4 linked regions of the Lonchura striata genome follow. The protein of the gene in region 2 interacts with the protein of the main gene of each other region in a pairwise test. Links are inferred from orthologs where the notes say so. Each region holds a gene or a part of one and is shown on either strand. Other genes may lie near its edges. The genes, in order: CCNK, RBPMS, SERF2 and RUSC1.

Evidence for each region.
Region 1: the proteins of RBPMS (region 2) and CCNK interact in binary tests that used the Homo sapiens proteins (3 or more experiments, as listed by UniProt). The two-hybrid records come from large-scale screens. The link is inferred for Lonchura striata from reciprocal best matches to the Homo sapiens genes RBPMS and CCNK.
Region 3: the proteins of RBPMS (region 2) and SERF2 interact in a two-hybrid assay, tested with the Homo sapiens proteins (2 studies listed by BioGRID and IntAct). The two-hybrid records come from large-scale screens. The link is inferred for Lonchura striata from reciprocal best matches to the Homo sapiens genes RBPMS and SERF2.
Region 4: the proteins of RBPMS (region 2) and RUSC1 interact in binary tests that used the Homo sapiens proteins (3 or more experiments, as listed by UniProt). The two-hybrid records come from large-scale screens. The link is inferred for Lonchura striata from reciprocal best matches to the Homo sapiens genes RBPMS and RUSC1.

Annotation. Positions count from the first base shown.
Region 1 is NC_134608.1:12,582,847-12,590,034, reverse strand, and holds the start of CCNK (cyclin-K), read left to right. Parts: upstream 1-4,186; 5' UTR 4,187-4,318; exon of another isoform or gene 4,319-4,401; intron 4,402-4,452; exon of another isoform or gene 4,453-4,587; intron 4,588-4,946; 5' UTR 4,947-5,051; intron 5,052-6,069; 5' UTR 6,070-6,139; coding exon 6,140-6,336; intron 6,337-7,188. UniProt on the Homo sapiens protein: Regulatory subunit of cyclin-dependent kinases that mediates activation of target kinases.
Region 2 is NC_134606.1:72,057,213-72,064,541, forward strand, and holds the start of RBPMS (RNA-binding protein with multiple splicing), read left to right. Parts: upstream 1-4,310; 5' UTR 4,311-4,378; coding exon 4,379-4,441; intron 4,442-7,329. Other genes in the region: DCTN6 (dynactin subunit 6), read left to right, coding at 536-558, 700-764, 838-943, 1,576-1,664, 1,858-1,905, 2,010-2,152, 2,238-2,336.
Region 3 is NC_134613.1:24,446,466-24,451,700, reverse strand, and holds SERF2 (small EDRK-rich factor 2), read left to right. Parts: upstream 1-4,041; 5' UTR 4,042-4,105; coding exon 4,106-4,112; intron 4,113-4,307; coding exon 4,308-4,416; intron 4,417-4,516; coding exon 4,517-4,580; 3' UTR 4,581-4,727; downstream 4,728-5,235. Other genes in the region: peptidyl-prolyl cis-trans isomerase FKBP8-like, read left to right, coding at 1,816-2,050, 2,162-2,507, 2,641-2,858, 2,929-3,101, 3,180-3,257, 3,387-3,554. UniProt on the Homo sapiens protein: Positive regulator of amyloid protein aggregation and proteotoxicity. Induces conformational changes in amyloid proteins, such as HTT, driving them into compact formations preceding the formation of aggregates.
Region 4 is NC_134635.1:1,835,205-1,842,544, forward strand, and holds the start of RUSC1 (AP-4 complex accessory subunit RUSC1), read left to right. Parts: upstream 1-4,327; 5' UTR 4,328-4,408; coding exon 4,409-6,113; intron 6,114-6,389; coding exon 6,390-6,494; intron 6,495-6,819; coding exon 6,820-6,896; intron 6,897-6,994; coding exon 6,995-7,169; intron 7,170-7,257; coding exon 7,258-7,340. Other genes in the region: FDPS (farnesyl pyrophosphate synthase), read left to right, coding at 226-306, 393-515, 1,025-1,113, 1,994-2,066, 2,571-2,648, 2,726-2,860, 3,023-3,223. UniProt on the Homo sapiens protein: Associates with the adapter-like complex 4 (AP-4) and may therefore play a role in vesicular trafficking of proteins at the trans-Golgi network. Signaling adapter which plays a role in neuronal differentiation.

The sequences.
Region 1 (7,188 bases), on a different chromosome or scaffold from region 2:
TATATTGTATTTTGATTCCTAATAGGATATTAGCAGCTACATTCTCAGCAACATGTCTTTTCCTTTATTTCTGCTTTATGTATTACCTACACCTGGCCAACTTGAGAGCCTGTGAACACCAGTACTGGAGATAAAACTGATCTCAAGCACAGTCATTCACATCTCTGCCTGATGCAGCCCAGGTTAGACACACAGGTGGAAGCCTCCTGCAGTGACAGGTCTGCTGCTCTGGCCTGGTCACAGAACCCAGAGCTGAAATGAAAGAATACAGCTCTAATTCTTCCTTATTTCAAAGAAAGGAAAAGGATTAACAGACTACCTGAACAGGATGGGAAGTGGTAAAGGAAGGGCAAGGATAGATGGAGCAACTGGAATAGTCATTTGTTAGAAGAGAAGCAATCAAGAGGCAATGTAGGGCAGAGCAGCTAAAAACAGAAAAAGGGAGCAAAGAAGGTTAAAGCAGAGGAAGGGCAAGACCAAAAATGCAAAGCAATATTAAAATACACTTGGGCATGAAGTCACCTCTTAACTGCTACAAACACAAGCCTAGCTCCAAATACACACGACTAAGACCAGACAACACTAATGGACCATTTTTATGGAGCAATGAAGTACTCCTGCAGTACTTTTAGTTTTGAGACATTCTTTCTCATATTTTACATAACAGCCTAAGTTAAAAACACTATTAGTCACCTAAAGCGAAATCTAGGAATCTGAAGTGTCTCCAACAAGTTCTTTGGCAAAGGACGGTCAGAATCAAATGATTCCCTTTACTATAGAAAGCTGTACCACCACAGGTGTGTCAACCACAAGCACAAGCCTAAAGCATTTGGAAAAGAGGAAAGACTGAACCACTGCTGTATGCACTGCACACATCTACTCTGCAAAGAACAAACTGCTAATCCCATTACAGTGTAAGGTTAAGGAAAGAACAATGGTGATAGTGGTGACTGTGATACTGGGAAGAAGCCAATCTACAGAATAATATCAAAAGAAGCCACTAAAGTTAGCTAAATATTTACTTGATACACTTAAAAAACCACCAAGTACAACAAATTTAGCTAAGTATTGGGAATCAAATTCCAAAAGATGTTTATTCTTAGAATCAAAGAAAACATGCCTTGATAGTATTCCGATTACAAATGCTTGAGGTAGCACTAATCTACTAAAAAAGGAAGTCCTGTCATTTTGACATTATCTCCCTCCCCACCCAGTTGAACCTAGCTACATACTAAGCACAAGACTGCCTCATGCATTAAATATAAACTTCTGGTAAGAAATTATTAATTTGAAGGTAGCACAAAATGCTGAAGGGCAAAAAAAAAAGTCCATATCCAACAGAACAGCTCAAAAAAGTATGTATTTCTTAATTCACTTTTATCAGCTTGCTAATTTGGAACTATTACATTATTTACCACAGGTTTGTCCCTATACCCCTTGGCCTTCCATTAAAGCTTTCTTAAGCAGATGAAGTAATTCTTACTATCAACACCTGCCTGATCTTTCTAGGGAAGATAGTTATCTATCCACAGGAAACAAGCTCTTAACTCCTTTGTCTGTCTCTTGAATCAGATCCTCAGACAGCTATTTGACCAGAAAAAAAAAAAACAAACTTACTCTTTAAAGAAAATAAGCTGATAAACTCTACCAATTTACCAACCCACTTTTGTAATTTTATTTCTTTGCCTGAATTTTGCTCCTCCTGAAGACTCCCACAAACTTCTTTTCCTAATTCCTTTAGAGCAGAATTAATTAAAAACCCTTATGTACTGTCTTTACCCGCATGTTCCTAAATAATGTTCTTAATTTAGAAAATATTAACCTCACTTTATATAATATAACTCCTAACTGAGAGTAAAGCAAGCCACCCTGACTTCAGCCATCAGTAAGGCAGACTTAACAGAACCACCCAGGCCTCCAAAAGCTTAAGCCACAGGCATCATGAGGTCTCATGCACTGAGCCCTATGACAGCCCACTAGAAAAGATACAGATCCCTTAAGACTTCCAGTACTCTTAAAGTACCTCTTTTTGGTTGTTTTTTTTTTTTGAAAGAGGAACCACTGAAATACTCACTTGCTGAGAAGTACACAGTTTATCAAATTAACTACATAACCAGCACCACTATGACCAAGAATTACATAGATACAGTAGATATGTCAAAATAAATTTATTATAATTAAAACATCATCAAGATGTACACTTTTCCATACAGAGAGGCATAAAACAGCCTATTTTTGATTTCTGTACCATACTGAAATCAGAATTCTATTTCAAGGCATGTCTGACTTCAGCAACAGATCAGGCCATCTCTGGAAATAGCGATATACAGATTACAAACTATTTTGGAGTTTGTGGCATTTCTTCCCCCAACAGCCTAAATCTATTTCTCAGCACACAACATCAAAAATGTGTTTTCAACTCTACTGCAGTGTATACTTCAATCCCTGCTAAACATAACTGAAAACTACTAAGGCACAAGCCAGCATGCTTGAATCTCTACCATATTAAGTTACTTAATTGAGCAAAAATATCAGGAAGCCACCCCCGCCTTTGAGTCCATCATGCCTTTCCTTCCCACAACTTGTACACTGGCTTACTATTTTGTACCAGGAACCTGATAGTGGACATACAGAATGCCACAGTTGTTTTCTACTCACCTATGGGATTACAACAACTGAAAGCAGAAAGCACTTGCCAGACATTAAGCTAACATTGTAGCAATTTTCAGAGAACAAAGCTGTCACTTGAATGTACAGGTGCCTTCATTACATGCTCTTAGAAGGGACAAAGACAATCTACTTTCAGCTTGATCTCAGGAGCCAGTTTAGGTTCCAAAGACAAGCCCATCTAGAAGAGCAGATACCAAGCTTGGGGCAAGAGCAGCTTTGAACCATGAGGGACAACTTCCAAAACTGAGGTTATTCTGATAGCTGAATGTAGGGTAAAAAAATTTAGGAATTTGCTAAGAACTGAAGGCAAAGCACAGCCTCAGCTCAAGCAACTCTAATGAAGTGTTGCTGGGTAAGAAAGAAGAAGAAGGGTTCACGGGACAGGCAGCTGCTGTAGCAATAGGGGAAGGCTGAAATACCGAGGCTGTTTCAGGAGTAACACCCCTGTCAATAAACATTTACGATTTATTCTAATTTTAACTCCTCTCTCTCTTTTTCTTCCAAAGATTTAACTCTGCTTCAGCAGGCTGCAGACGGGGTGAGAAAGGAAAGAAACCAGAGCACTCTTCTCCAGCCAGAGGAGGGCTCAGAGGAGCCACACACCCGCAGAGACGCCCCTGAGCCAGACCCCGGGAGCTGGGGCATGGGAAAATGAAGTAGGAGCAGGGAGGATTCAAACCGTATCACATATTAAAAAAAATAAAAATCTAATTACATCACGAGGAAAGCAGTTTTAAGCCATTTGCTTTACTCTCGTTTCTATCAGGGTCTGGAGGGGGGATGGGGCAAGGCAAAACGCCGGTGCCGCCGCCTCGCTCACTGGAGACCCGCGCAGGCCGGGCTGGAGCGAGCCCGGCCCGCCCCAGGCGGCCCCGGGGGACGCGCCGGGAGAGGGAAAGGCCGGGCCGAGCCTGGCGGAGGCTGCGGCTCGCAGGGGAAGGAGGCCCGGACTGGCCCCGCACCGGCCACGCGGGGCAAGGCAGGGGCGGCGAGGCCCGGCGGGAGGGGGTGTCCGGAAAGAGCGGCGCCTCCTCCGGGGAAGGAGGAGGCGGCGGAGCGGGGCGAGCTCGCGCCGCCCGGAGGGTCGAGAGGAAGGGCCCGTGCTGCAGCAGGGGAGGGGGCGCGGCGGCCCCGCCTTACCTCCCGGCACGACCGCTCCCGCCTGGCCCGAGCGAGCGGCGCTCCCGAGCCCGCGCCGCCGCCGCTGCCCGCGGTGGGGAGGCGGAGCTCCGCCCGCCCCCGCCCCCTCTGCGCGCCCTGCCGCCATTGGCCGAGCTGCCGCCCGCCAGCAGGCCCCGCCCCTCCCTCAGGCAGAGCAGCGCTCCCATTGGCTGTCATTCAATCCCTGCTGGCCCGCCTTCAGGTTTCTATTGGTCCCTGCGCTCGCAATCTTCCCCTTTACCGTTCCGATTGGTCCGCCCCCAGGGTACGGCAGCCCGGCCCAGCAGCGGCTGACGGAGCGGGCATTTGGGCGGGAGGTAGCGGGAGCGCCGCCGCTTCCCATTGGCGGGGCCGCCGTGCTCGCGCGCTGCGCCCTTGCGACGTGATGGCGCACGCGCGGCCTGGCCTGGCTCCCAAGATGGCGGCGCGCAGGCCGCGCTGTCGCTGAGGGCCCCGCGCTCCGGTGCGCTCCCGCTGCCGCAGCCCTGTGAGTGCGCGGGGCCCGCCCGGGCCGCCCGCCGGCCACCGCCGCCGCCTGGGGAACGGGGGAAGGGAGCGCGGAGGCCGGGGGTAGGGAGCGAGCGCCTCCCCGGGCACCGGCAGCCCCGTGTAGGGCGGGCGGGTGGGTCTGAGGCGGTGTGAGCATCCCCGGCCGCGTTGGGGCAGCGGGGGCGGAGCTGTGGTCGGTGCGTTCGTCTCGGGTAAGGTATGAAAAAGCCGCGATCGAGCTCTGGAGTTCTTCTCCAGTTTCATGGGGTGCTTAAAAAGGCAGGGAAAAGTTATTATTTCCGGGCGTTGCGGTCTCTGGATTGGGACGTTTAACATGGTTCATTTAAGGTGCTTGCGGGTGATAATTTTCATTCCTGGTTCCGTATTCGGAAATGCGTTTGGGCTTTTATAGAAAAAGATCTTACCGCTTCAGGCGCTTTTAGTGTTAACTGATTTTTAAACGCTTTAGAAGTTAGAAAGTAAAATATCTGGTAAGGAAGAAGGGTCGTTGCAGTTATAAAAGCAGCTTTCTAGTAAATATGATGAGAATGTGTGCTTGTGGCCTGGCGCGCTTTCGTTGAGTCTGGAAATAGTTTTTAGTAGCCATTTACTTTTTCTTGTGCCAGAATTTAGATCTGTCTGTGACCGATACCACGAGTTGTGAAGGTGATTCCAAAACCACCGTGAGGCAAAGACAGTTTCGTTTATTCTGAAAAAGAGACTTTTTGAAGGTGAGCGAGGTGCTGATTGTAGGCATCGTTCTGTGGCTGTTCACGGGATCTTCCTTCCGTTTTCGGAAGGGAAACGTCTCGATAAGTAATAACTGATTTTAAGAGTTTTAAGTTTGGGTCTTACTGTGACTGTCTTGCTTAGAGCGAATATATTGCATCATATATTAATGTCTGTCTGTTATGCAAACCTTTGCAGGTGACTGCAGTAATCTGGGAATAGTATCTGTAGTTAGTTGAGTTGGAGTAAGAGCAGTTTTGTGCCTGTAAGAAAAAAAAAGCACTCTTTAAGCTGAGGCATGGCTGAACGTCTGTCATAATTCAATCACCAAAAAGGTGCCTGCAGAACTTTGTGATCTGCATCTGTGTACACAAAGTGCTGGTAAACAGGGGCAAGTAGGAGACTCTTGGGGTGTATTTGGTTGCCTTGTTTGGGGGATGATTTTAAATGCTGCCTTGCTCTATAAACTCACGTTGTCTTAATCTAGGTATGTGAAAGAACACTGACACACTTTTTTTCTTTAAGTAGTAAAAGTACAGATCACTTTACAAAGCTTCTGCCAAGTGGTTGCTGCCCGCAATATCCCTGGGAGCAGGCAGGTATTTAAGAGGCCGTTCAGGCTCGCCTCACCGGTGCCTTTCCTAATTACCAATAGTCATCTAATCGCCCTAACTTTCCACATCTTTCTGCAGCCGTCACTGAATTGTTTTTTCCTAGTTTTACGGACAAAGTAGATGGTAGTTGTTCTACTAAGAAATAGCAATATTGTTGGAGATCTATTCTTGAAGTTTCCTTATTAAACAGGTAACAGCAAGGATAACCTATTACTTTTTCTGATTGTATTTGCAAAATATGGAGAGGATAAAGGCAAAGTTCTTTATTACTTGTCTTTGAGCATAGGAACAAGTTCTTTCCAACAGGCAAGGCTAAGCACTATTCTTTTTTTACTCCTCTTTGAGGAGGAACTTCAGAAGGTAGTTCTCTCTATTTTTAAAGAATTCCTTTTTTGTTTTCTTCAAGGTCCTGAAGTGACTCTCTGAAGACTTCGTTTTTGAAAATTTAAAAAGCAGAGACAATTCTGTTTTAATAAATGAAGGAGAATAAAGAAAATTCCAGCCCTTCTGTGAACTTGGCAAACCTGGACCATACAAAGCCATGCTGGTACTGGGATAAGAAAGATTTGGCACACACACCATCACAGCTTGAAGGGCTTGATCCAGCTACAGAGGCACGATACCGCAGGGAAGGGGCCAGATTCATATTCGACGTGGGAACACGTTTAGGGCTGTATCCTTTACACATTGTTGGTATGAAATGTCTCTATGAATAGTGAGTTTTCAGAATAAAATACACAAGAAATGTGACATGCTCAGCTGATCAGATTTTTAATTGCTAATTAAAAATATATGTGTGTTGAAGTGCCTTTCAATATAATGTGTTCCTACACCATTTCTATCCATTCATTGCATAAACAGGGTTCCAGTTTGTTGAAGAGAAGTAAGATGATACAAACTTTCCAATTAAGAGTAACATCTGTGAGTTATGAAACTCAGTATTTCACTATATGAATCTGCATGGCTTCTCAAATTTTGAATTTTTCCCTCCTTTTTCTAAATTGTTAGAATCTGGCCTTTGAGGCTCTAACCTCTGCCTCCCCAGTCTTGGTCTCTGGTGGCTGTTTTTTTGTTTCATGGTTTGGGATTTACAACTTTGTGTATAAGTTCTCCCCATTGTCCCACTCCCTCATAGACAGCCACTTAAATTTTCTGCTTTCTATATTCCTATGCTTCCTTTAAACTCCTTAGTTCTTTCTTTAATAATGCATGGTGAAGACTAAACTTCTATTTGTCTTAAAGTGAAGAATACGGAGCATGTTCAGATTTTATTTGCATTTGTAGGTTTGAATAGTAACTTTCCTCCATGCCAGCACTTGAATGTGAAGCGATAATTGTTCTGTTCCTTCGTGTACCTACTGCTGGATTTGTCCTTCTCTGAGGCAGCTATGGTGCAACACAGGAGTCACCTTATGTGCATCCTCTTGGAAATACAGTCAGCACTTTGCATACTTACAATAAATGCTTTCGATATCAGCTGCATCTGGGCCTGATCATAGTATTTACACAGCTTTAAGGGCTTTTG
Region 2 (7,329 bases):
CCCCAGTCTGGGGTCTGCCCTGACCCCAAAAATCAGGATTTGGGCCCTCTGATCAAACCATTCAAGTGCCTGGATGAGCCTCCATTCGCACTCCCCAGATGGGCTGGAGTCTGTTTCACTGCCCTGAGACTGCCCGGCTGGGGCTGGCTCCAAGTGGCAACAACGCGGGACTTGGAGCGCCCAGCAAAAAAACCAGAATTTTGTCTCCATTTCTGAGGGGGGGAATAAAAAAAAGCCTGATTTATTCTTTTCAGTATCCTAAAAAGGGCCAAAAGAGCCTGCTGCCCCCAAACACGGGCCTCGGTGTCTGTTTCTCAAGCACGAACACGCAGGACCCTCTCTGAAGCCCCAAACACGGGACTCGCTCTCCCTTTCCAGGCGCCTGGCTCAGCCGCGCCCCTTTCCCCGCCTGCCCCGGGATCCCGGCGTTCCCGGGTACCGGGGAGCGACGGGGCCGCGCGGTGGCGCCGCCGGGGCCGGGCCCGCCCGCGCCGCCCCGGAGCTCCGCCCCGCGCAGGCGCCGCCGGCCGCGGCCATGGCGGAGAAGGTGCAGAAGAGGTGAGTCCCGGTGCCCCCCTCGGTCCCTCCCGGTTCTCCCCCGATCCCTCCCACGAGCACCCCGGGAGGCGCCGTCCCCTCCCCGCACCTCGGCGCGGTCCCCGGGCGGGCCCGCCGTGACCGCGCCACCGCTCCCCGCAGCGTGAAGATCGCGCCGGGCGCCGTGGTGTGCGTGGAGAGCGAGATCCGCGGGGACGTGACCATCGGTAAGGGCCATGCCCCCCGCCCGGCCCGGCCCCGGCGGTGCGGGCGTGGGGTGACGCCGGGCTGTCCCCGCAGGGCCCCGCACCGTGATCCATCCCAAGGCCCGCATCATCGCCGAGGCGGGGCCCATCGTCATCGGAGAGGGGAACCTGATCGAGGAGCAGGCGCTCATCATCAACGGGTCCGTGGGACACCCGGTGGGGGTTTAAAAACCCTGGGGAGGTGGAGTTTATTAAAAAGGAAACCACCAAACTTCGTGCTTTTGTGTGGCACTATGGCTTGGGGAGAAGCCACAGAATCACAAATGTTCATTGTTTGAAGGGACCTTAAATATCATTTCATGCCACCCCCCTGCCATAGGCAGGGACACCTTCCACTATCCCAGGTTGCTCCAAACCCTGTCCAACCTGGCCTTGGACACCTCCAGGGTTGATGCAGCAAGTGTTACCTTGGGCAACCTATTCCAGTATCTCACCCCATCACAGTAAAAATTTTCTTATGTATATCTAACCTAATTTCCCCCTTTTTAAGTGTGTGCCCATTACTCCTTGTTCTGTCACTCCAGTTCCTGATAGAGTCCATCTCCAGCTTCCTTGCGGGCCCCCTTCAGATACTGGATGCTAAGTCCCCCTTCTGAATTCTTCTCAAGCTGACAGAGTAGAAGAATCCTAATCCTAAGCAGTCTCAAATTTCTGACAGTCCAGCTCAGCTGGATGGGATATTTGTGGCTTCAGTCTGTCACGAAGTTGAGCTGCCCCACAGAGCACTGTCATCATGATCTCAGATGTGGAAATCTGTTCTTCCCTCTTGCAGGTACCCAGAAAATATAACCCCAGAGAGCGAAGATGTGGAGCCCAAGCCCATGGTCATTGGCACCAACAATGTTTTTGAGGTCGGGTGCTGTATCCTCGCTGTGCAGTGACAAACCATCCAGCACACTGTGCTTCTGGATCCCTCCAGGGGGAGGCATCTCTGGGGATCTGTCAGGGTTCAGATAGCTCAGGGCTGGGTGGTGGTTTGAAAATGGCATCAGGGTTTTTCATCTGCTGAAAATAAGCAAAGCATTTTACAGTTTTACTTAACACAGACCTGTAGATTCCCAAGCGATGAAGGTAGGAGACAACAACGTCATTGAATCCAAAGGTAATTCTCAGCTTGGGGCCTTTGGCCCTGCTGAGATTCTTCTCCTATAAATGCTGTGGGAACAGCTCTCACAGGGACTCCTCTCTCTCCCTTCTCCCTGGCAGCGTTTGTTGGCAGGAACGTGATCCTGACGAGCGGCTGCATCATCGGGGCCTGCTGCAACGTGAACACCTACGAGGTGATCCCGGAGAACACCGTCATCTACGGGGCCGACTGCCTGCGGCGCGTGCAGACCGAGCGGCCACAGGTGCGTGGGGACACGCTGCCACCTCCTGTCCCCTCGGCCTGCTACCCTCTGGCTGTTCCCTCACCTCCCCTGCCTCCCTTTCCAGCCCCAGACGCTGCAGCTGGATTTCCTGATGAAGATCCTGCCCAACTACCACCACCTGAAGAAGACCATGAAGGCCGCGTCCACCCCTGTCAAGAGCTGAGCACTCACCTCATGCTGCCCGTGCCCAGCTGGGTGTTTGGTCCTGGGAAGCACTACACACTCCGGGAAGAGTCCGGTCGCCACATCCCTCATTCCATCAAACCATTTCTTCCTTGTTTGTGTCATTTCTTTTTCTTCCACTGGGATTCTCAGACCTGCTTCGAGTCTGTCGTCGCTCACGCGTTAGCTCTATTGTTTGTGCTTTTTTTCGGGAATAAAATGCCTCCAGTTCTGCTGTCCGAGGGAACCGCAGCCCTTTGAGTGTGCGGGGTGCGGTGCCCGGGTCGCACGGGCGCTGTCGGGGCGGGTGTCACCGCCGGGGACAGCCCGGTGCCACCTCCCCGCGCCGCCCCGTCGCGCCGGCAGGGGGCGGTGTGACCCCGCGCTCCCCGGGGGTCCCGGCCCCGCGTCCCGGATCCACGCGGGCCCCGGGGTGGGAAACACAGGTGGACATCCATGCAGCAGAAATTCCTGTAGGGAAGAGGGGATAGGATCAGCAGCTAACACAGAGAAACCCAGACTTCTGTGGGACATGAGGCTTTGGGTTCAGGTCGGGGGGTTCAAGGCAGGGAAGCGGGGCAATATCTGCTGGAGCAAATTGGATTTTCTCCCCAAGTCCAGCTTCATGGCTACAAAAAATCCAAACCTCCCCTTTTTCTGATTTGTGATTCCAACCTGGGTTCCAGCGCTGCTGGGCAGCTGCAGCTCTTCCCCAGAGCTGAGTCCAAATAAGGGTTGTGAGTATTGTCCCGTGCACTGTCCAAGCAGAGATTTTTGTCTAGATGCCTGTGGATGGGGAAAACAAAGAGATAAAACACATCTCTAAATTTCCCCCCTGCTGAAAATCTACCCCAAAAGCCAGAGGTTCCAGCAGATTTGGGTGACTAGATCAGTCCCTGTGCTCTAGATTCCCTCTAGGCTCAGCTGCCTTGTAGCCAGACACTTCCCGCTTCCCCAAATCCAGCTGGCACAGCTCATTTTCACCTCCTTCTGTCCTTTGAATCGCTGCCGCGGGGATGATGCAAACCTGTGGGTGGCCAGGCTGTGTCCCCTGGGCAGCCGGCAGGACAGACGGGCACCTGCCCCCAGGTCTGTTTCGGCTGGTGAGGCGCAGAAAGGCAGGCGGTGACCTTAAGGGCCCGTTGGGAAGGAGCCCTGTGCCCCGGGCAGGATGTCCTCGGCGTCACCTCCGGCCGAGCGCTGTGCCCGGGCAGCACCTGGGCTGACACAGCTGCTGCTCTCCACCCCGAGGGTCACAGCCGCCTCCCCGGGGCTCTGCAGGGCTGGAACGACCCAACACCGAGCTCTAGAACGAAGCGTACACGATGCCAGGTCCAGCGCAGGCTCAGCAAAAGCCTAGCCTAAGCATGAAGCCTAAGTGCAGTCCCCGGGCTGGGCAGGGAGGGGTTGAGCCCCCAGGTGGGGCCGGTTGGGGTGATGAGCTCCCGCTGGTCCTTCCACTGCCCCCAGCCCTGCACCGGGTCCCCTCCTCTGCCCCACAGCCGTAACACGTTCATGTCCCTGGGTCTGTGCACCATGTCCCCAACGTGCTGTCCTGTATCCTTAACCTTGCGTCCTGTGTCCCCAGCCTTGTCCCGTGTCCCCAGGACTGTGTCCCGTCTGCCCAGCCCTGTCCTACACCCCCAGCCCGTGTCCCATGTCCCTGAGACTGTGTCCATCTCCCCATTCTTGTGCCCCATGTCCCCAGCCTTGTATCCGGTATCCCCTACGTCCTAGACTGTCTTCTATGTCTCCAGGACTGCCCTGAATTCCCAACTCCGTGTCCTGTGGCCCCACATGGCACTGTGTCCCATGTCCCTAGCCCTGTGTCCCGCGTTCGCATCGCCCACCTCCCGTATCCCGGCGCTCCTCCATCCCCCCGCGGCCCGGTCCGTCCCCGCCGCTCCGCCGCGCCCCCGCCCCGTCCCTCCCCGGCCGCGCCGCCCCGCCCCGGCCCCCCCGCCGCCGCCGGGACCAGCCCCCAGCACCGCCCGCCCGGACGCGGCTGCCGCCGGCGGGACGAGGAGCCTGGCCGGTCGCACCATGAGCAGCGTCCCCGCCGACAGGGAGGGCGGCCCCGCCGACACCAGCCTGCCCGAGGAAGAGGTACCGGGGGGGACACGCACCGGGGATTTGGGGCGGAGGGGCTCCGGCTTCCCCCTCCCCACCCGCGATCCCCGGGAGCTGCGCTCCGCGGGTGCTCACGCACCGGGCTCCCGGTACCCGGGGCTGCTGCGGGGGGGACAGGGACGAGCGGCGGGAGCGCATCCCCGCTCCCCGGGACTCTCCCGTTCACCGCCGGCATCCCCCTGGGGCTCGCCGCAAACGCCCCTCCGCCTCGCCGGAGGAAACCTGCGGGCGCGGGGAGCCCCACGCGTGACACGGATCGCCCCGGGGGGCGTGAGGGATAAATCAGGCACTCCCCGGTCCCGCTGCCGGTGCCTGGTGCTGCCGGTGCCCGTGGGTACTGTGCATCCAGCGGCTGTGAATCTCTTTCCCATGAGTCTCACCCCAAAAATATCCGAAACGCTCCCATCCCCACGGGAGACCAACCCCACACCCCGTCACGGTGAGTGCTGGTTTGCTTCATTCCAGCCGCAAAGTTCCTGGTTTTGCCCGTGACCTTGAGATGGGAATTTGGACTTTGCCAGGGTGAGAGCGGGAAGATTCCGATCGGAGATCTCCTCCTCCTTACCCTCCACCCGGCTGGGCTGCTCCAGCAGGTCCCTGCTGGGCTCCCTGGTTGGTGGCCAACGCTGGGATCAATCACCGCAGTTCCATCGCCCGCTGCCGCCTGCCTTCATTTGCTTATTCCAGAGGTGGTTCTGGCTTCAAACTTCCCAAAGTTTCCTAAAAAACGTGGAGTTTTTTTCCACTGGTGGCCTGGCGGACTGTGTGGGAGATGATGCTGCGGCTCTGGTGGGCATGGCATGGGTGACACCCATGGAGGCCTGTTGCCTTTTCCAAAAGCATGGCCTTTTCCAAACCCATGCCGGCAAAAGGCAGCCCTCGCTCTGCTCCCGGCCAGATCCGCAGGGCCGGGGGCTGACTGTCGCCCAGGGGAACCCCCTGACCCGGTGATGCCGGACATGGGGAACACCCGGACGGGACGGCTGGGAGGTGCCAGGGACACGCACAGAGCCGAGGACACACGAGGAGGGCGATGCCCGCTCCTGCCTGCAAGCCGCGCTGCTCCGGTGCCAGGCAGGTATTTTCCTGGCAGGACTTGTTCCAGCCCAGGCTGGAGAAGCCGGTGCTGTCTATTTGCTCAAGCGCAGGGAAAGGGGTTACTCAGCTACTGTGGTGCCTCACCTCCCCACTCCCAGGGCTTGCCTGCAGCCTCCTGTTCCCTCAGAAAAGAGGGAGAAGCAGCCCCCATGCCGGGGAGGTCAGTCGGGGTGCTGCCAGGTGGGAAAAGCCCCCGCTTCATGCCCGCTCCTCCCGCCTGCTCCTGGCGCCCGGGTGGCTTCCCCGTCCCTCTCGCCTGTCCCCCCCGGGAAGGACACCCCCCGTGCAGGGGAGCTGTGGGCCAGGGGCTTCCCCACGTAGGAGCCAGAACAATTTGGGAAGGCGGTCACGTCACTTTGGCCGGGCGAGAACGGCATGTAAAAGGCTCGGCGGAGGCCTTATTTGGTAGCGGAGTGGCTGCGGAGAGCCCGGCTCGTGGCCCTCGTCCCCATCCCATGCCAGATCCCTCATCCCGGGGGAGCCGTGCCATGGGGAGGGGACCCCAGGGATGCTTTCTAGGGGGAACGTGTCCAGCGAGTGGATAAAATCTGTCCCCGTGGCCCCTGCGTTGCATCCCCCCGCGCTCCTGCTTCCTTTCCTCCTTGAAGCGTGGGGTCCGGAGGGTTTGGGAGCAAGCTCCAGGCGGGACAGGGACGAGTGTGACCCGCGCCTGATCCCGCCGCTCCTCCGCTCTGTTGCAATCCCCCATCTGCTCCCTTGGCTGCTCACTGCCTTTTCCTCTGCCGCTTCCTCGTTCCAGCCCCGGCAGCTCTGGACTCGCTTTTCCCCAAGGGCTGTTCCTCTCCTCCCGTCCTTCACCGGACGTGCGAGAACCGTGATTTTCCAGCAGAGCGGCTGCGGGTGGCGAGGCCGGAGATCTAGCCCGGTCCTCCCGTATCTCCCGGGCGGAGAAGCCGGCATCCCTCGGCCTCAGCCTTGTTTATGTCGGGGAGTTTTGCGGGCTGAAGGCATGCGTACACACAGCCCGGGAATCTAAACCCAGCCGAGGAAGACGCTGCATTAGCCAAGAGATTATTTATGCCTGGACTAATCCCGGCGGGGTGGGGATGCACCCCGCTTTGCCGGGAACGGGAGGGGAAGCCCTGCTCACACGGAGGGTTGCACGGCTCGGTGGCAGCCCCGTGCCATCGCCCTCCCGCTGCCGCCGGGATCCGGTGCCTCCCCGGCGGCGGGCAGTCAAGCGGATAATCGGCTGGTGGAGAATTAAAGCGAGCCCCGCTGGAAGGGGCGCACGGAAGGACGGACGAGGGATGGGAGCTGGGCTGAAGGAGGCGATTAAATGCCTCGTGGATGAATCACCCGGACGCCTCCCGCCTTCCCAGGGCCTGTTTAACGTTTACCGGGGGTGGTTTGGGCAGGACAGGGCGGGACAGGACAGGACAGAGGACCGGGACCATGCTGGCAGGACACTGCCACTGGGGCACCCGGCATCCCTCCGGGCACTGCCGTGTGATGGGGGTCCAAGCCAAGCAAATGCCCCCCCGGTACCTCCTTACCTGCAGGAGACAAACCTGGTAAGCTTGTGGCTTCATGTGAGGAAGAGGAGGAGGAGGGCTTCCATCACGGACCTCTCCATGCTGGGGTCATCCTTGATCCATGCTCTGGAAACCCCGGTCACCTCCTGGCCCAGATCTTTGCCTCTCCTGGCATGTCCTCAGCACTGACCATCTCGGCAAACCTCCACAGAGCCTTTCCAGTATCCCTTAAACTGGCCCAAGACAAGATGCAGGATTTCAGGGACAAAA
Region 3 (5,235 bases), on a different chromosome or scaffold from region 2:
ACAGGTAGGCCAGGGCCAAGGGTGTTTGTTACAGTCAAGTGCTTGGCTGTGGTGAGAGCGAATACAACCAGTTAACTATTCCTTCTCACGCTGAGAAACAGGCTGGTAGCTGTGGGTCTCTCTTCAGGAGGATAGGAGTAGACCATGTGGTGTGGGCTGTGACTGACCATCTGAGGGTGTTCCGCTTTCCTTTGGGGAAGGGCGGGAAAGAGATGGGCGGACCAGGTAGGAGCTGTTGTCCTGATTCTGTGTTCCTTTACTAAATGCAAGTTGAAGTGAGGGTCAGCACACTCAAAGTATTGCTTCATGGCAGCAGGTAATATGGCAAGAACCAGAGCTTGCTTTCTCTGTGGCTTCCTCCCCCACAGCTCAAAGCCCAGGTGGTGCTGGAGTTTTCCAAATACAGTAGCTCATGCAAGGCTTAGGCTGTACTTCTTTGACTACAGTAACTGCAGTACAATTTCTTTTGCAGCTCCATTAGCATCTCAAACCACATTTCCCTTTTGTGCTCTGCTGCTGTGGTAGCTGCTCTGCCCCTAATGCATGCGGGTGTCTAGGCACCTTTGGAGGAGCATGTGATGTCCAGTGGTCCCTGCACAGACTGGCAGGAGCCCTGCACCTGTCTGTCTGGAGCACTCTTGCAAGGAAAAGGAACACAGCAAGCTCCCCTGACAGCTGGCAATTACCCATGTTACACCAGACTGGAATGCTGCTTCCTTGCTGGGCAGGACAGTGCTCTCCATCAAGCCAAGGAGAGCTAGGGACGTGGTTCTAATCCTGGCTTTGCTCCCTGCTCTGTGACTGTTGACCTGGTGGCAGCTGGGGCACTGAACACAGGTAAAACTCTTCAGCATGTTTGGCCCAGGGCATCACTGCTGGTGCTCAGAGCAGCCTGGGTGAAGTTGGCACAGGCCTAGGGAAACTTTCTGGCAGAAGGGACAGAGGATGAGGAAGGGTTGTGGTGGTGGCTGCCTAGATAACCCTCACTATGCTACAACTGCATTGAAGGAATAAGGTTCAATTGAGGAGAAACAGGCATCTGATGAAGGATTTGTATATTTGATGCCTGGAACACTTGGCAAACAGGGTGGCTACAGACCTTGCTTGCAGTGAGACCTGCATGGAGAGCTGGCCCTGGGTAAGGGGGAAGCCACCACCTAAAGTAACACATTCCCCGAGTTGGCTCAGGCTTTAGCAAAAGATCGGGTCTTTGTTTCTGGTTCTCCCCATGCAGCCATGGCCCTCCACGGAGCTGGGAATGAGCTAGCCCCAGGTGTTTCAGAGCTGGAGCAGTTGGCGCTCCTTCAAAGACAGGTCTGGATGAGCAAGGAAAAAACTGCAGCAACAGTTTGCTTGGGAGGACTCGCTTCTTGCAGAATTAGGCTTTTGCTATGAGACAGCTTTGGATGGAGGCATTCAAAGTGATTCTTACGCTGGTAGCTGGGATAAGCCAGAGACTCGGCCCACAGCCTCGGTACCGGAGACGCCGGGCCGCGGCATTGCCTGGAACGCGCGACAGCAGCGGGCGGGGCGGGCGGCGGGAGCCCCGTGGCGGGGCTCGCCCTGGCCCAGCTATTTTTGCCGCCGACCCGGACTAATCCCCTGAGCTGCTTCCCGGCATTAGGTAACGGCGCGGCGGCATGCGCTCCGCGGTGTCCCCGGCCCGGGCAACCCCCGGCAGTCGCGGCGCGGCGGGACGGGCGGCGACACGCCCGGTGCGGGCTGGGGGCCGTGGGCACCCGCCGCCGAACCCCGCGTGGGCCCGGACCGAGGCCAGCAGGTAGCGGCGGGTGGCGAGGGGGGCCGGGGGCGGACATGCCGGGCCCGTCGCCCGGCGGCTCTCCGGAGAGGGAAACGGGGGCCGGCGAGCGGCCGCGGAGGCCTGGCCGGGACCGGCGGGTGCGGTTCCGGCTGCCTCACACCGCCATCGCGGTGCCGTCGGTGCGCGAGGAGGAGCAGCTCTTCTACCGGCGGCTGGAGGCGCTGGCAGTGCCGGGGCCCGGCGGCTTCGGGCCGCTCTTCGCTTCCGACAGTTGGAGCGACTTGACGGGTGAGTGCCGACGGGCCTCAGGGCCAGCCCAGGCCGGGACCGGACAGAGTGGAGCAAGGAATGCCAATTTCGGGACTCCCGGCTTGGCTCTTAGCGCCTCCTCCCTCGCAGAGGACCGGCTGCTGCGGAAACGCGTGGTGCGGGCCGGGCTGGGCGGGCCGCGGCCGCTGCCGGGCCAAGAGGTGTCCGTGAAGCTGCTGGGCGCCCTGGAGGACGGCGGGCTGGTGGAGCGGGACCCGCGGCTCATCTTCGTGCCGGGTCACGGGGACGTCGTGCAGGTGAGCCCGAACCGGTGCGCGGTTCAGTGCCGTGCGAGCTCAGCGCCGCCGTGGGCCCCGACCCGCCAGCCCCACCGTGCCCGTCCACAGGCTCTGGAGCTGGGCGTCCCCACCATGCAGCCCGGGGAGGTTTCCTTCTTCCTCGCCGCTTTCCCCTACGCCTATGGCCGCCCGGGCAGGTAAGGCGAGCGGGCAGGGGGCGGGAGGGCAGACGGACCGGGGCGGGCAGGCAAGAGGGACGGGCGAGGACAGGACCAGAGCCGGTGGCGCCGGCAGGGCAGGGGTCGCGGGCAGCCGGCGCTGTACCAGCAGGGAGCCCGACGTGCCGCCCGAGGCGCCGCTGCTGTTCGAGGTGACGCTGCTGGAGGTGCGGGACGGCCCCGACCCGCAGCCGCTGCTACCCGCCGTCCGTCTGCGCCTGGGCTCGCAGCGCAGGGAGCGGGGCAACTTCCACTTCGCGCGGGGTGACTTCGCCGCGGCGCTGCGATCGTACCGGCTGTCCCTGCGTGCCCTAGACGGCCCCGCCGCCGGTGAGACCGGACGGAAGGGAGGGCCCGGGGCTGTGGAGCTGGGGCGCTGAGGCCGCAACTCGCCCCGCAGCTCCGCCCGGGCCCGAGGAGGAAGAGGAGCTGCGGGAGCAGCGTGTGAAGTGCCTCAACAACTGCGCGGCTGCCGAGCTGAAGCTGGGGCGGACGGAAGAGGCGCTGGCGGCCTGCGAGGCGGCCCTGCGGATCAGCCCCGACAACGGTCGGGCGTTGGTCCGGCGCGGGCAGGTGGGACTCGCATCGTTCCGCATCGCCCCGCTCCCCTAGGCCCAGTCGTCCAGCTACCGTCCGCTCCTCTCCCCGCAGCTTCTGGCAGAGCAGGGGCGGGACGCAGAGGCGGCGCTCGTCCTGAGGAGAGCCCTGGAGCTGGACCCGGCCAGCAAGGTGTGGGAGGCGGGGTGCGAGGGCGGGCGGTGGTCCTACGGCACCTGGTACTTGAAGCGACGGGGAGGAAGAGGATCCTACAGCATTTGGTGGGTCGGGTGTCCCACCGCAGCCGCACCTCGTCCGTAGGTGATCCACACCGAGCTCTCACGGCTGGCGAAGCGCCAGAGCCCTCCATCCGGTACCGGCCCGCAGAATCCCCGCCACGACCCGATACCGCCGCCGAGCCCCGCGTGCGTAGGCGAATTGGGCTGTGCAGGGACGGATGCCCGTCCCGCACCCTCTTGGCGCGCATAGCGCTTATAGCCGTCCCTCCCTGTAGATCCCCCGCACCGCCCTCGGCGGAAGGAGAGATCTGAGCGGCCCCGCAGCGTCTCAGAGCCTGACCGAAGAGATAGAGGAGTTCTCATACCGTCCTCCCCACATCGCCCCGCACTCCCGCGGGAGGAGAAGAAATCTGCGTGGGGAGGGCTGAGGGAGGGGCGGGACGGCGCCGGCCCCGTCCCGCACCGCCCGCACCGCTCTCCCAGCCTGGCAGCGCTCCCGCACGCCTCGTGACGTCACGGCGGGGGGCGGTCCCCCCGCGCTCCGCATCCTGTCGCGCGGAGGCGGCTGCGGCGCGTGCGCCGAACCTTCCGGCTTTTTCGCCCCCGCCGGCAGCAGGGAGGCCATAGCCCGCGGCCAATCAGGCGGGGCCTTGCCGCAGAGACGCGCCAATGGGAGTGCAGCGGGGGGTGGATCGGCGCAATGATTGGCTGTGGCGTCCCTTAAAGCGCGGGGCGGGGCGGGGCGCGGGGGGGGTCAGTGCGGGACGTGGCGGTGGAGTGGAGGTGGGAGGGAGCGGCGCCATGACCCGTGAGTTGGGGGGAAGGAAGGAAAGGGGGCTGGGGCTGACAGGTGTCGTGGGAGGCTGTTCTGGGACCCGGGAGTGCGGCGGGGCCGGGGTCAGGGGCCACGCCGTGATGCGCCGGCGGGCGGTGGTCGGGCCGGGGTATGGGGGGTGGCCGGTACGCGGGGCCGGGCTGCGCTGAGGTGGCCGCGCTGTGGCAGGCGGGAACCAGCGCGAACTGGCGCGGCAGAAGAACCTGAAGAAGCAGAGCGACTCGGGCAAGGGCAAGCGGCGGGACGACGGGCTCTCGGCTGCCGCCCGCAAGCAGAGGTGAGCGCCGGGCCGGCCCGCCGGCTTCCCCTGCCCCGCTCCCTGCTCCCGCCCCGCGGTGGTGCCGGCCCCGCCGCCAGCCTCGCCGCGCTCCCCGCAGGGACTCGGAGATCATGCAGCAGAAGCAGAAGAAGGCCAACGAGAAGAAGGAGGGCAACAAGTAGCGGGCGGCCGCGCCGGGCTGCCGCCCCAGGGCCGGTCCCGCCGGCAGGATGCCCCGCGCCGCCCCAGGCCGGGTCCCGCCGGGACCTCCGGCATCGCCCCGCGCCCGGTGGCGCCGTCCCCTATTAAAGTAGCTGTGGAGCCCTGCACGCTGCGTCTGCTCGTCCGTGCGCCGGGCGGGGGGTGGGTGAGCACGGCTATTGGCGGAGCAATCGCGGCCGCGGGGAGTCAAGCGGCGGCATCTCGACGGCGAGGAACAAAGGTGGGGTCGGACCTGGGCGGCCCTTGGGGCAGCACCCGGGGATCAGCGGGGGCTGAAGGCCGAGCGCCCCGGGGCGGAGGGAGAGCGGGGAGCCTGGAGCAGCGGAGCTGGACGGCGTGGCGCCGCAGCGGGCCGGGGCGCAGCCGGGGCTCCGGGCCGGCCGGAGGGCGGCGGTGGAGAGATGGCGGCCGGGCCTGCGCACCGGGGGAGGGCCGCGCTGCGGCACGGCCGGGGCGGGCCTAGCCGCAGCTGCCCGGCCGGCGGCGGCGACATCCGGCCCAGTGCCGAGGCCGGTGCCCGTCGGCCTTTTCACCTCCCTGCAGGGCCCTAGCAGTGGCATCAGCCCGATCCGACAGCACAGCGGCGGCTCCCGCGGCAGCCTGGGCTCCTCACCG
Region 4 (7,340 bases), on a different chromosome or scaffold from region 2:
ACCAACAAAGAAGATGTCAAGAGTGTGTAAACCTTTGCCTAAGCTGCTGAGCAAACCACAGCAGCCCAAAAAGACAAATCTTTTAGGGAACTTACAAATAAACAACCATAAAACCAAACAACGGGAAGCATAAATTAGGGGGGAAAAAAAGTTTTTCCACCGCACAAAGCCACCCCACAGTCAACACCCGGGGGTTTTACCCATCTTTGATCCAACCTCTCGCAGTTCCAAGCCTTTTTCCTGGTGGCTGACGACATCATGGACGCGTCGCTGACCCGCCGGGGGCAGCTCTGCTGGTACAAGAAGGTGAGAGCGTCCCTGTTCCCATCTTGGGGGGGTGTCCCCTGCGGGTCAGGAGGGTTTGGGACACCTCCCTCCCCTCCCTGGTGCAGGAGGGGATCGGGCTGGATGCCATCAATGATGCTTTTCTGCTGGAGTCCTCGGTGTACCGGCTGCTGAGGAGGTACTGCGGGCAGCAGCCCTACTACCTGCACCTGCTGGAGCTCTTCCTGCAGGTGAGCCCGGCTCCCCAAAACCCCTTCCTGATTTTTTTGGGGGGTCTGAGCCTTCACGTCGGACCTTTTCTGATGTGGGTCTCGGAGTGCTCCTTGCATTGCTGGCCGTCCTGCTGGATGCACCCTGGCAAAAGCCAAAGAGGAGCTGAACAAGAGGAGTTTGGGGTCTGCACTGTGCTGTGCTGGGGCTTTCCTGGAGGGTTCTGTGAATAAATCATGGAATCGCTGCTTTGGGTTGGATGGGACCTTAAAGAGCATCTTGTTCCACTCCCCTGCCACGGGAACACCTCCCAGCTTGCTCCAACCTGGCTTTGGACACTTCCAGGGGCACCCACAGCTTCTCTGGGCGCAGGAATTCCTTCCCAATATCAACATCATTGATCCAGCATAGCCACCAGCCTTTATCTTCTTATTCTCCCCGTTCAAAACATCCTCCTCCCTCTTTTTTACACCCCTCTGAAGCACTGCAAAGCCACAGGGGGGCCGCAGATCCTTTCTTTCCTCTCCAGACAGGCTACCAGACCGAGCTGGGGCAGACCCTGGACCTCATCACTGCTCCAGTCTCCCAGGTGGACCTGAGCAGGTTCAGCGAGCAGCGGTACGGGGGGGCAGAGGCAGAGCCCGGGGCTGGTTTTTGGGGAGCAGCCCGGTCCCTTCCCAGCTCTGCTGAGCCTGGGGCTGGTTTTTGGGGTTTTGGGGAGCCCTTCTGTCCCCAAGGGTGGCAGAGGCAGGGCTTGGTCCCTTCCTGGCTCTGCTGAGCCTGGGATCGGTTTTTGGGGAGCAGCCCGGTCCTTTCCTGGCTCTGCTGAGCCTGGGGCTGGTTTTTGGGGAGCAGCTGAGCCTGGGGCTGGTTTTTGGGGAGCAGCTGAGCCTGGGGTCAGTTTTTGGGGAGCAGCTGAGCCTGGGGTTGGATTCTGGGGAGCAGCCTGGTCCTTTCCTGGCTCTGATGAGCCTGGGACTGGTTTTTGGGGAGCACCTTCTGTCCCCAAGGGTGGCAGAGGCAGAGCTTGGTCCCTTCCTGGCTCTTCTGAGCCTGGGGCTGGTTTTTGGGGAGCAGCTGAGCCTGGGGTTGGATTTTGGGGAGCAGCCCGGTCCTTTCCTGGCTCTGCTGAGCCTGGGGTCGGTTTTTGGGGAGCAGCTCAGTTCCTTCCTGGCTCTGCTGAGCCTGGGGCTGGTTTTTGGGGAGCAGCTGAGCCTGGGACTGGTTTTTGGGGAGCAGCTGAGCCTGGAGTCAGTTTTTGGGGAGCAGCTGAGCCTGGGGTTGGATTCTGGGGAGCAGCTCGGTTCCTTCCTGGCTCTGATGAGCCTGGGGCTGGTTTTTGGGGAGCAGCTCGGTCCCTTCCTGGCTCTGCTGAGCCTGGGGTTGGTTTTTGGGGAGCAGCTGAGCCTGGGGCTGGTTTTTGGGGTTTTGGGGAGCCCTTGTGTCCCCGAGGGGGGCGGAGGTGGCCTCGGGGCTCAGCCTGCTCCCTCTGGCACAGGTACAAGGCCATTGTGAAGTACAAGACGGCGTTTTACTCCTTCTACCTGCCCGTGGCCGCAGCCATGTACATGGTGAGTCTGCTGGGACGGCAGGTCCTGGAAGGCGTGAGCCCCAGGTCCTGGAAGGCTTTACTGCATCCCCAGGTCCTGGAAGGCTTTACTTCATCCTCAGGTCCTGGAAGCCTTAATCCCCAGGTCCAGGAAGGCTTTACTGCATCCCCAGGTCCTGGAAGGCTTTACTTCATCCCCAGGTCCTGGAAGGATTTACTTTATCCCCAGGTCCAGGAAGGCTTCATCCTCAGGTCCTGGAAGGCTTGATCCCCAGGTCCTGGAAGGATTTATCCCCAGGTCCTGGAAGGCTTTGCTTTATCCCCAGGTCCTGGGAGGCTAGGCTTTATCCCAGGTTCTGGAAGGTTTTACTTTTTCCAAGGTCCTGGAAGGTTTAGCTTCAACCCCAGGTCCTGGAAGGCTTGATCCTCAGGTCCTGGAAGGTTTTACTTTATCCCAGGTCCTGGAAGGCTTTATCTGTAGTCCTGGAAGGTTTTTTTATCCCTGTTATTCCTCCCCTCCCCTCAGGCAGGCATTGACAGTAAAGAGGAGCACGAGAACGCCAAAGCCATCCTGCTGGAGATGGGAGAGTTCTTCCAGATCCAGGTAGGAGCTGCCTCAGCACCCCTGGGTGCTTGCCCGGCGCTGGCTGGTGGCACTCAGGCGTCGTCACTGTCACCCAGGACGATTTCCTGGACTGCTACGGGGACCCAGCCCTGACGGGGAAGGTTGGCACCGACATCCAGGACAACAAGTGCAGCTGGCTGGTGGTGGAGTGTCTGCGCCGGGCCACGCCGGAGCAGAGGCAGATCCTGGAGGTAAAATCCTGGATCCCTCACCTGGGAGAGGGGCTGGAGAAGCCTGGGTGTACACCTGGAGTGCCAGGCGCTGCTACCTGGCTGGGAGGAGGGGGGTGAGCATGAGGAAGAGAGAACAAAGCTCCGCGCCGTGAGCTGGGACTCACTCCAGCGTTTTCTCAGGAAAACTACGGCTCGAAGGAGCCCGAGAAGGTGGCCAGGGTGAAGGAGCTCTACAATGCGCTGGGCATGGAGGCGGCTTTCCGGGAGTACGAGGAGAGCAGCTACCGGCGCCTGCAGGAGCTGATCGGGAAGCACGCCCAGCGCCTGCCCGCGGAAATCTTCCTGGACCTCGCACAGAAGATCTACAAGCGGCAGAAGTGATGGAGGGGCTGGCAGGGGGCTGGGCTCCGGCACGGACCGCCCGGAGCGGCTCCCTGCCCTGGGAAGGGTCGCGGCGGGTTGGAGAAGGTGCGATGGGGTGGCCGGGCTGGGGTTCAGCCGTCTCCCCCCCCACCCCCGGCCGTGTGTGAATAAACATAAATTATTGTAGCCGCGGCGCTGCCTGCTGTGGTCTGGGGACAGGGAGGGAGGGCGGGACCCCTCCCGTGCTTTCCGGGCTGGGGGGATGCCCGGAGCGCCGCCTCCGCCGGCGGGGCGGGACCGGGCGGCTCCCGGTGCGGCGGCGGCGGGGCCGCGGCTCCTCCCTCCCTCCCGCAGCCGCATTCGCCGCCGCAGCGCCGAGGTGAGCGGGGGACGGGAGGAAGGGGATGGAGCCGGGAGGGGGATGAAGAGGGCCGCGCCCAGGAGGGCCGCTCCCGCTGCCTGGCTGCCGGTCCTCGCCCTGCGCCCGGGGGATGCTCGGAACCGGGGGATGCTCGGGGCCGGGGGGTGCTCGGGGCCGGGGGATGCTCGGGGCCGGGGGGTGCTCGGAGCCTGCGGATGCTCGGAGCCTGCGGATGCTCGGGGCCGGGGGGTGCTCGGGGCTGGGGAATGCTCAGAGCCTGCGGATGCTCGGAGCCTGCGGATGCTCGGGGCCGGGGGGTGCTCGGAGCCGGGGGATGCTCGGGGCCGGGGGGTGCTCGGGGCCGGGGGATGCTCGGAGCCGGGGGGTGCTCGGGGCTGGGGAATGCTCGGAGCCGCCCTCCCGCGGTCTCCCGTTCCCTGCCCAGAGCCTCCAGCAGGTAGCCGGGGCCGGGGCTCCCCATCCCCCCCGGTAAGGCCAGGCCCGGTGGTGCGGTGGCGGCTCCGCAGCGGCTCCCAGGACCGGGGGATTCCAGCCAAGCCTTGGTCCCTGAGCACCCGTGGTGCCACCGCCCCCAGCCAGGGCAGCATCCTCCCCCGGCCCCCCCGTCTCGACGAGGCTCCAAGGGCGTTTTCTCCTTGGCGGCATCCCCGAGATGCTCCCGATGCTCCGGAGGGAATCCAGCCCCGGAGCAGCCCAGCTTGCTGGGATCATTCCCAGGCCACGCTCCATGGAGCAGCGGCTGGTTTCGGCCCCTGCCCGGCCGCAGAGCCCCAAGCCCGGCAGGAAGGTGTGGGGCAGCCCCTCCCTCAGGGCACATCCCCATGGCTAACCCCCAGACCCATTGCTGCGAGGTCACTGCCATCCCTCTTCCCCCGGCTGTGCCTCTCTCCAGGTTTGTCCCGCTGGGTTCTTCCTCGGCCAGGAGGGTGTTTGGTGCTTGCAGGGAGCTGGATGGTGTGAAGAGAGGAGCTGCTGGCCTTTCCTGGGAGCCCTGGCACTTCCAGCGAGGAGGCAGCGCCATGCTGGCTCCAAAGAAAGGCCTCCTGTGCAACCTCAACCACATCCACCTGCAGCACATCTCCCTGGGGCTGCACCTCTCCCGGCACCCCGAGCTCCAGGATGCTTCCACGGCCGGGGGAGAGCAGACCGGCTGCACCCAGTGCCCGGAGAACCGGGAGCCGGTGGATGCCAATTCCAACAATCCCTCGGTGAAATGCCGCTGCTGTGAGTCCCACGCTCCGGAGCTGGAGACGCTCGGGCTCCAGAACCAAGAGGATTTCCCCTGCCTGCACAGCGGAGACGAGGAGGAGGCGGCTTCCCCTTGTGATCCCCCTTGTGATCTGGCTTCTTCCTCCTCCTCCTCCTCCTCCTCTGTCAGTAGCTGCTCGGATTTCAGCTTGGATGAATCCCCGGTCTCGGTGTACTGCAAGGAGTTCGCCAGAGCAGAGTCCCAATCTCCTGACAAGCAGCTGAACGTCATTCCCACAGAAAACGCCTGGCATGGAGAGTCTCTGGCTGATGGAGAGAGTCTGCCTGACCAGGAGAGGACGTGCCATGGGAGAGATGCCAACCACAACTCCCCGGTGTCCCTGCGAGCCACCGCCGTGGCCAGCAAGAGCCCGGACAGCCTCTGCAGCAACAACTCGCTCGACTCCCACTGCGACGAGCTCTCTCCCAGCGCAGCAGCAGCAGCAGCACAGGACACCGCCGGCACCTGCCCTGACCTAGACCCCAACTGCAACCCCCTCCCCGAGCCCGGTGCCGCGCCCCCAGCACCGCCGCCTGTGCCGGAGCGGCGGGACCCCGGCATCCCGAGCGGCGCTCCGGAGCCGCGGCCCCGGCCCGGCGGCCTCCCCCCGCCGGTGCCCCCTCGTCCCCGGCGGCGGCTGCAGGTCCTCAACGCGCACAGAGCGGAGCAGCCGCCGGAGCCCCGGGCCGGGCCCGGTGAGCTCTGCCGAGACACGGGCGCCAAGACCATCACCTCCTTCCACGAGCTGGCCCAGAGGAGGAAGAGGAACGCGGCCGGAACGCTCGCCCAGGCCAGGGTTGACCGCAGTGACTGGCTGATCGTGTTCTCGCCTGACACGGAGCTGCCCCCCACCAGCGAGCTGCTCGCCGGCACCGCGGGCCGGGAGCCAGCCCGGCCTCCGCCCCAGCCCCAGCCGCAGCCCCGGCAGGACGGGCCGGCCGGGCCTCCCGGCTCCGGGCAGCGCGAGGTGACGACGTTCAAGGAGCTGCGGTCCCGCAGTACCGCCCGGCAGCCCAAGGGCCAGCGGGCAGAGCCGGGCCAGCGCCCCGCTGTGCCCGCGGGGACGGGCGCGGGCCCGCAGCCCGTGCCGGCACCCAGCGACCAGCTGAGGAGGAGACCCCGGCCGAGCCTGCAGCCCATCGCGGAGGGGCAGCCGAGGGATGTGGAGAAGGGGGAAAAGGGGCTGGGCACCGCCCCGCTCCGGAGGCTCGGGGGTCCCGCCGGGGACCCCGCGGTGCCGCGGGCGGCTCCGGGAGGAGACGAGACCCGCACGGGGGGTGAGTCTGGGTCCCTCCGGGGCTCTGCCGGGGGGCTGCGGGGCCGAGCGGTGGCAGCGATCCCGGGGTGCGGAGAACCGGGGCTTCCCCCGCATCGCGCGGCCCGGGACGCGGCGGGGCTGTCCCGGTGCCGCTCCGCCCCGCGCTTCCTCCGCCGCCCGGCCCGGCCCCGTGAATCCATGAGCCGCAGCGAGCCGGGCCCCGCCGCCGGCCCCGCTCCTCCGCCGGCCCCGGGCGCCGCCGCCCCGCCTGACCCCGCCGCCCCGCTCTCTGCAGCCAGCCCCGAGCCGCTCGCCGCCGGAGCCGCCGCCGGAGCCGCCGCCGGAGCCGCCCGGCCCGGCGGGGGAAGAGCGGAAGGGCCGCACGGCGAGCAAACCAAAGGTTGGGGCAAGTTCTCCTCCGCGGAGCCTCCGCGGGGAACGGGAGGGGAGGAGCGGGCAGCGGGACCCGCAGCGTGCCCCGTTCAGGCCGTTCCCCTCGGGGGGTGCGAGCGGCTCGTCCCGGGCCGGGTCGGTGTCCTGGGGCACGGACAGTGCGGGCCGGGATGGGCAGCGCTGCTGCGCCGGGCGCGCTGCCGCTGGTCCGGGAGAGCGCGGCACAAACCCGCCGAGCGTGCCCCGAGCTGCGGCCCTGGCACAGCCCCGGGCCCGCCCGGTCCTTCCTGGGCGCTGACCCTTCTCTGCTCCTCCTCTCCCGCTGTCCCCAGCGCTGCTGGTGGCCGTCAGCTCTGCTGTGGACAAGGTCATCGCCCACTTCAGCACCGCGCGGAACCTGGTGCAGAAGGTGAGAGCTGGGCTGGAAGGATTTTGGGATGCCCTCATCGCTCCCAAGGGTCGCGTGCTGCCCTGCCCTTCCCTCCCCTCTCCTTGTGCCTGCCCCAGGCCCAGCTGGGGGACAGCCGGCTCAACCCCGACGTGGGCTACCTGCTGCTGCACACCCTCTGCCCTGCGCTCTACGCCTTGGTGGAGGACGGGCTGAAGCCCTTCCAGAAGGATGTTATCACGGGCCAGAGGAAAAATTCCCCCTGGAGCGTGGTGGAAGCCTCTGTGAAAACAGGTGAGGGCGAGGCTGGGGGCATCCCCAGGTGCCCGGCGTGCTGCTGTGCCCTGGGCAGTGGCTGTCTGTGCTCTTCTGCACCCCACAGGCCCCAGCACCCGCTCCCTGCACTCCCTGTGCTGGCACGTGGCCGGGCTGGCCCCGCTCAGCAGCGCCAGGCAGAAGTTCCAC